Callithrix jacchus: one gene and its partner. The protein of the gene in region 1 interacts with the protein of each later gene in a pairwise test. Links are inferred from orthologs where the notes say so. Each region holds a gene or a part of one and is shown on either strand. Other genes may lie near its edges.

The links.
Region 2: the proteins of RBFOX2 (region 1) and RBM42 interact in a two-hybrid assay, tested with the Homo sapiens proteins (2 studies listed by BioGRID and IntAct). The link is inferred for Callithrix jacchus from reciprocal best matches to the Homo sapiens genes RBFOX2 and RBM42.

Annotation. Positions count from the first base shown.
Region 1 is NC_133502.1:206,672,224-206,676,039, reverse strand, and holds part of RBFOX2 (RNA binding protein fox-1 homolog 2), read left to right. Parts: intron 1-805; coding exon 806-1,030; intron 1,031-3,816. UniProt on the Homo sapiens protein: RNA-binding protein that regulates alternative splicing events by binding to 5'-UGCAUGU-3' elements. Prevents binding of U2AF2 to the 3'-splice site.
Region 2 is NC_133523.1:31,829,388-31,833,666, forward strand, and holds the start of RBM42 (RNA-binding protein 42), read left to right. Parts: upstream 1-1,239; 5' UTR 1,240-1,364; coding exon 1,365-1,492; intron 1,493-1,729; coding exon 1,730-1,874; intron 1,875-4,279. UniProt on the Homo sapiens protein: Binds (via the RRM domain) to the 3'-untranslated region (UTR) of CDKN1A mRNA.

The DNA of each region.
Region 1 (3,816 bases):
TTTGAAGTTTTTTAACTTTTCAATGGAAGAGAGTTATGAATTTTCGTTTCTAGGTAGATCATTACCATTCTCTTAAGGGTAACACAGTAATTCAGTGTTTCAGAATATTGGATTCCCTTTATTGAATATATTTTTTTGTCATTCTCTTTAATAGTAAAAACAATATATTGCGTAGGTTTTATTACAGAAGTAATACACACTTATTATTGAGGGGCACAAGGAAACTTTTGGGGGTTTTGGATATATGTGTTGACTATCTTGATTGTGATGATTTTATGAGAATATAAGTGCGTATATCAAAACTTACCAAATTGTATAATGTAAACAAATAAGTGCTGTTTATTATTTGACGGTTATATCACAATAAAACTGCTTAATTTTTTTTGCTGATTTGATGACTAAAACTTGGACTTACTTCCTGTTTTTTTGAGACAGTTGCCCAGGCTGGAGTGCAATGGCAGGATCTCAACTCACCACAACCACTGCTACGCCACCCAGGTTCAAGCAGTTCTCCTGCCTCAGCCTCCCGAGTAGCTGGGATTACAGGCATGCGCTACCATGCCCGGTTAATTTTGTATTTTTAGTAGAGATGGGGTTTCTCCCATGTTGGTCAGACTGTTCAAACTCCCGACCTCAAGTGATCCTCCCACCTTGGCCTCCCAAACTACTGGGATTACAGGCGTGAGCCACTGCACCCAGCCTATGCAGTGAGAGAATGTTCGGATAATTCCATTTACTCACTTTAAAACTAGTTAGGTAAGAAGGATTCAGAGTCACTTTTTGTTTTTCTCATTGTTTGTTTTAGGGTAACCAGGAGCCAACAACAACTCCTGACGCGATGGTTCAGCCTTTTACTACCATCCCATTTCCACCACCTCCGCAGAATGGAATTCCCACAGAATATGGGGTGCCACACACTCAAGACTATGCCGGCCAGACCGGTGAGCATGACCTGACACTCTACGGAAGTACGCAAGCCCATGGGGAGCAGAGCAGCAACTCACCCAGCACACAAAATGGATCTCTTACGGTATGTGAACTATGAGGTGAAAAACAGACGGATGCCTGGCAATCATATGGAAATTTTTACCTTAGTTTTACAACTAGAAAACTCTCTACATTAATTCAGCATTTATACCTGTTCTCGTTTACACCTTCTCTCAGCAGCATTGTATACATTATCCTTTCTCCTCCTAGAAATACTTTGTCTTTTGGCTTTTCATGCTGTCCCGGTTTTCCTGCCAAGCACTGGCTCTTCTGCTGCTGCCTCTTTCTCTGTTCAGCTCCTGGAACCCCTTTTCTTCTTATTTTACATCCTTTCTCTACATAATTATACTACCAAGCTTAGTTGCTCAAGAAAAACCTAGGAATAGTCTTTATTTCTTTCATCTTCACATCTAATTGACTAGCAAGTCTTGATAACCGTAACTCTAAAACTACTTCACCTTCTCTACATCTTACTACTCTTCCACCAGATTGTTTGTTTGAATCTTAGTATGGCCCCTACTAAAGTGTTTGACCTTGGACCAGTTATTTAATCTCTCTTTGCCCTTGGCTCACTCTAAAATGAAGATAATAGTACCTACCTGAAGAGGCTGTTAGGAAATTTAAAAGAATTTATCCTCATCACCATTCTAGTCCAAACCTCATCACTTATTTCCGGGATTACTGCTGCCTAACTTGTCTATCCTTCACTGTAGCACTAAGATAGTTTTGGGTTTTTTTTAATGCAAATTTTGCCGATTTCCTACTTAACTATTAATCGTTCGCTAATGCAATTAGAATAAAATTCAAACTCTGTACTTGGTTTATTTACTAGTCTCTAGCCCCAGCTTATCTCTTTGACCTCACCTTTTACTACTAACTTGCTAAAGTAAAGGAAATGTCATAAATTAATAATAGGTGTATATTTCATATCAACATAAGGATAATTGTATTGTCTCTTGCTTTGTCACCCAGGCTGGAGTGCAATGGCATGAACATAGCTCACTGCAACCTCAGTCTCCTGGGCTCAAGTGATTCTCCTGCCTCAGCCTCCCGTGTAGCTGGAACTACAAGCATATACCACCACACCCAGCTCATTTTTTATTGTTTAGAGACAGGGTCTTCTTTTGTTGCTCAGGCTTATTATGGACTCCTGTCATGCAATTCTCCTACCATGGTCTCCACAAGTGCTGCAATTAGAGGCATGAGCCACAACGCCCAGCCTTGTGTGGTATATTTCTAAAGATAGAAATGTTCTATAATCTGCATAGAAAGACCTAGCTCTGTTTATGGTTTTTTCACCATTTTCAGTGATCTTCATATCTTCTATAGGTCCAAGTTGTTATCCAGTGTCATTTGCTTTCAGTCCAAAGGACTTCTTTTAGTATTTTCTTTAGAGTAGACCAGCTGGAAACAAATAGTCCGTTTTTGTTTATATGGGAATGTTGTTTTTTTGTGTGTTCAGTTTTGAATGATAGTTTTGTTAGCTATAGAATTCTTGGTTGACAGTTTCTTCCTCCATACCCCATCCTTTAAATATGTCATCCCCTGGACCACTCGCATGGGAGTCAGCTCATTCTAATGAGAAGTCAGCTGTTAATCCTATTGTTAGTCCTCCTGTAGGTAATGAGTTGTTTTTCTCTTGCTGATTTCAAGATTTTCTGTTTGTCTTTGGCTTTAAGCAGTTTCTCTATGATGTGTCTAGGAGTGGATCTCTTTGTTTTTATCATACTTGGGTTTTCTTGAGATTTTGAAATCTGTATTCATCAAATTTGGGATGTTTTTGACTATACTTCATATATATTTTTTCCTTTCTTCTCTTTTCTTGGTCCTCTCATTACACATAAATTTTTTTTCCCCCAAGACAAAGTCTTGCTCTGTTGTCCAGGCTGGAGTGCAGTGGTACAATCTCGGCTCACTGCAACCTCTGCCTCCCAGGTTCAAGCAATTCTCCTGCCTCAGCTTCTCAAGTAGCTGGGATTACAGGCATGTGCCACCACACTTGGCTCATTTTTATATTTTTAGCAGAGATGGGGTTTCACCATGTTGGCCAGGTTGGTCTCAAACTCCTGATCTCATGATTTGCCTGCCTTGACCTCCCAAAGTGCTGGTATTACAGGTGTGAGCCACTGTGCCTAGCTAACACATAAACTGAAACACTTGGTGTTCTCCCATAGGGTTTTTTGTTTCTTTAAAAAATTCAATCTGAACCTAAACATAATCTGAAGTTCTATTCATTTTTCTTTGATCTTTTTTCCTTCTGTTCTTTAGATTGGATAATTTCAGGTGATCTCTTTTTCAGTTGACTCCTTCTTTGTTCTGCCATTTGAAATCTGCTGCTCAGCCCATCTAGTTATTTTTTTATTTCAGTTATTACATTTTTCAACTCTGGAATTTCCATTTATATTTTTCTACTTAGATTTCTTCTCATATCTTTTTAAATTTTGTTTTTTTTTTGAGATAGGGTCTCACTTTGTCACCTAGGCTGAAGGGCAGTGGTGCAATCTCAGCTCACTGCAGCTTTGACCTCCTGGCACAAGTGATCCTCCCACCTCAGCCTCCTGAGTAGCTGGTACTACAGGCACGTGCAACCATACCAGCTAACTTTTGTATTTTTTGTAGAGACAGGGTCTCACTATGTTACTCAGGCTGGTCTTGAACTCCTGGGCTCAAGCAGTTCTCTTGCCTCAGCCTCCCAAAGTGCTGGGATTACAGGTGTGAACCACCATGCCCCACCTTAATTTTAAAAGTATATTTGTATTTACTGTTTTGAAGTTGTCTGCTAAATGCAGTATCCAGGCCTTAGTCTGTTTCTAGTAACTGCTTGTTTTC
Region 2 (4,279 bases), on another chromosome or scaffold:
CTGTAATCCCAGCTACTCAGGAGGCTGAGGCAAGAGAATTGCTTGAACCCAGGAGGTGGAGGTTGCAGTGAGCTGAAATCACACCACTGCACTGCAGCCTGAGCGACAAGAGCAAGACTCCGTCTCTAAATAAATACATACAAAAATACATACATACATACATACATACATACAATAGCTGGGCATGGTGGCTAATGCCTGTAATCCCAGCACTTTGGGAAGCTGAGGCGGGCGGATCACCTGAGGTCTGAAGTTCAAAACCGGCCTGGCCAACATGGTGAAACCCCGTGTCCTCTAAAAACACAAAAATGAGCCAGGCGTGGTGACACCCTCCTATAATCCCAGCTGCTCGGGAGGCTGAGGCAAGAGTATAGCTTGAACCTGGAAGGTGCATGTTGCAATAAACCGAGACGGCACCACTCCACTGCAGCCTGGGCAACAGAGCGAGACTCTTATCTCAAAATTAATTAATTAAAATAAAAAATAAGAGAAGCATAGATCAGGTGAAATCCAGATGTGTCGAATATTGATAGCGTTTGAGAGGTACTTAAGAGTTTGTTATACTAGTCCCTCTAATGTGCATGTTTGAAAATATTCAGAATAAAACACTTTGAGGGCTACGGGGAAGAAAAAAAAAGAGGGGTCAGCTGTGTCCCAAGAAAGGACAGGGACCAAGCCCACGCACGTGCCCCTCTGCGTTGCACTAGTGTGGGCCTTGGCTCCCACCCTGAATATCTCGTCTCATCTTCAAATGTCTTCAGATGTCCTCCGCCAGGAAGCTCGGGTCAGGCGCTTCCTCCCGGGCATCTCTAGTCTTCATGGGAACCACAGGTCGAGTGTCAACCTACCCCAGGGTAGGAGCCCCCAGCCCTCAGCCCCAGACCCCAGCTAGGCCTCCCAGCCTTGCCCAACCCTGAGGTTGACGCGGACTTCAGCGTCTTTTAAAACTTCCAGCGCGGGCTTCGCGGTGGCACAGGAGGGGCCTCCGAACTTTCCTGCGTTCTCAAAGGTCCAGATTCCACATTGGGGACGGGACCAACTGACTTTGCTTTGCTCTCATTAGCCTGTGTTCCTCCAGGAAGGCGAGACCGCCTATCTTCACTGCGCTCTCATAGGCCCAGGTTCTTGCGTTTGTTTGTCATTCTCTCACTCTCATTGGCCTGGATTCCCCCTGAGGGTGTGGCCAGGTCTCATTGGCCCTCGCGCCCGGATTTATGACGTCATGTGTCAGCGCCCGTCGCTTTTGCTGGACGTCATCCTCGGTGAGCCCACCCTGACGAAGGAGGAGAGTAGACAGCAGAACCGGCGGCGGCGGCGGCGTCTAGGCTGAGACAGTAGTAGCGGCGACAGCGACGGCGGCAGCGATGGCTGGGGCGGGGCCAGCCCCGGGACTCCCGGGTGCAGGAGGACCCGTGGTCCCGGGCCCTGGCACTGGCATCCCGGGCAAGAGCGGCGAGGAACGCTTGAAGGAAATGGAGGCGGAGATGGCCCTGTAAGGCCCACGACAGGGAGAGATAAAAGTCGTCCCAGAGCCAGAGCCTCCGAATCCCGGAGCCTCCAGGCCTCGATTGGCCAGAGATGCGCTCTAACGTGGGGAAATGGGACCTTCGGGATTGTGGGGGTGGGGATAGGGGAGAGGTTGGCAGGGGTGACGGTCCCCGCGAAGTATACCCAGAGTTCCAAAATTGGTACGAGATCCTGAGCTCTGGTGTCTGTTCTATTCCTCCAGGTTTGAGCAGGAAGTTCTAGGGGCTCCAGTACCCGGAATCCCAACTGCTGTGCCTGCAGTGCCCACGGTCCCCACGGTAGAAGCGATGCAGGTCCCAGCGGCTCCTGTGATCCGCCCAATTATCGCGACAAACACATACCAGCAGGTACGGTTGAGCTAAGGCATATAAGTCAGGGAACACAATATCTCTAACACAGTAGGTGTTTGTGTACAGAGAGCTGTTGACGTTTTGGTTTGTTGACTAATTAGCATGACAAATATTTTGTGTGTCAGGCACTGAGAACACAGTAATGACTGAGACAGACATTTCTGCCCTTTGGGAGCTTATATTCTAGAGCATGCTGTCCCGTAGAGCTTTCTGCAATAACGGAAATGTTCTGATATATTTAAAATTTATATTTAATAGTTCCTTATTCCCAGTCACATTTCAAGTGCTCAATAGCCAACCATATATGAATAGTAGAGAAGAAGAGATAAATTATTATGATGAAAACAGGCTGGACACGCCTGTAATCCCAGCATTTTGGGAGGCCAAGGCAGGAAGATCGCTGGAGGCCAGGAGTCAGCCTGGGCAACACAGATCCTCTCTCTCCAAAAAAAAAAAGAAAAGGCAGAAAAATTAGCCAGGCCTCGTGGCACAAGCCTGTAGTCAGGGCTACTGGGGAGACTGAGGTAGGAGGATTGTTTGAGCCCAGGAGTTCAAGACTGCAGTGAGCTATGATCATGCAGCTGCACCCCAGCCTGGGTGACAGAGTAAAACCTAGTCTCTGCAAAAAATTCAAGTTAAAAAATGAAAATGAGCAAATGAAACTTGATCATTCTGTCAACAAATAATTATCAGGTGCCTTTTATGCACCAGTCATTATTCTAGGCATTCAGCATTATAGCCAAGTACAAAACAAAAATAATCACTGTATTTTTGGGGCCTGTAATCCCAGCACTTTGGGAGGCTGAGGTGGGCGGATTGCTTGAGGTCAGGAGTTGGAGACCAGCCTGGCCTACCTAGTGAAATATGGTTTCCACTAAAAAAATAGAAAAATTGGCCAGGACGGGTGGCTCACACCTGTAACCCCAGCACTTTGGGAGACTGAGGTGGTTGGATCACAAGGTCAAGAGATCAAGATCATCCTGGCCAATATGGTGAAACCCCATCTCTACTGAAAACAAAAAAAATTAGCTGGACGTGGTGGCGCGCACCTGTAGTCCAGCTACTTGGGAAGCTGAGGCAGGAGAATTGCTTGAACCTTTGAGGAAGAGGTTGCAGTGAGCTGAGATCATGCCACTGCACTCCAGCCTGGCAATAGAGCAAGACTCCGTCTCAAAAAAAAAAAAGAAAGAAAAAAAAAAAAAAATTAGCCAGGCCTGGTAGCACACGCCTGTAATCCCAGCTACTTGGGAGGCTGAGGCGGAAGGATCGCTTGAACCTGGGAGGCAGAGGTTGCAGTGAGCTGAGATCACACCACTGTGTTCTAGCCTGGTCAACAGAGTGAAACTCAATCTCAAAATAAATAAATAAATAAAAGTATGTTAAGAAGGATGGAAGTTCCTTAGCACAGACACAGAAGTCCTTTCTGAGGAAATCACATTTAAGCAAAGATACAAAGGAGACATGGAGGGAACCATGCAGATGTCTGGGGGAAGAGCACTCCCAGCAGAGAACTACCAATGCAAAGGTCCTGAGGTGGCCGGCGTGGTGGCTCACGCCTGTAATCCAGCACTTTGGGAGGCTGAGACGGGTGGATCACAAGGTCAAGAGATCGAGACAATCCTGGCCAACATGGTGAAATCCCATCTTTACTAAAAATACAAAAATTAGCTGGGCATGGTGGCACTTACTTGTATTCCCAGCTGCAAGAGAGGCTAGGGCAGGAAAACCGCTTGAACCTGGGAGGCGAAGGTTGCAGTGAGCCGAGATCACACCACTGCACTCCAGTCTGGTGACAGAGTGAGACTCTGTCTCAAAAAAAAAAAAATTTTAAAAAAAAGGACCCGGCCGGGCTCGGTGGCTCAAGCCTGTAATCCCAGCACTTTGGGAGGCCGAGGCAGGTGGATCACGAGGTCAAGAGATCGAGACCATCCTGGTCAACATAGTGAAACTCCGTCTCTACTAAGAATACAAAAAATTAGCTGGGCACGGTGGCGCGTGCCTGTAATCCCAGCTACTCAGGAGGCTGAGGCAGGAGAATTGCCTGAACCCAGGAGGCGGAGGTTGCGGTGAGCCAAGATTGCGGCATTGCACTCCAGCCTGGGTAACAAGAGCAAAACTCCATCTCAAAAAAAAAAGGACCCTGGCTTGTGTTGTGAGATTGGGAGCTGTTGGAAGATTTTGAGCAGAAAGATAATGTGGTCCAGCTTTGAGGTTAACAGCGTAGCTCTGGATGTGTAAGAATAGACGGTAAGCGGGCGTGATGGCTCACACATGTAATCTCAACATTTTGGGAGGCTGAGGCAGGTGGATCACCTGAGGTCAGAAGTTCGAGATCAGCCTGGCCAACATGGTGAAACCCCCTACTCTACTAAAAAATACAAAAATTAGCTGGGCGTGGTGGC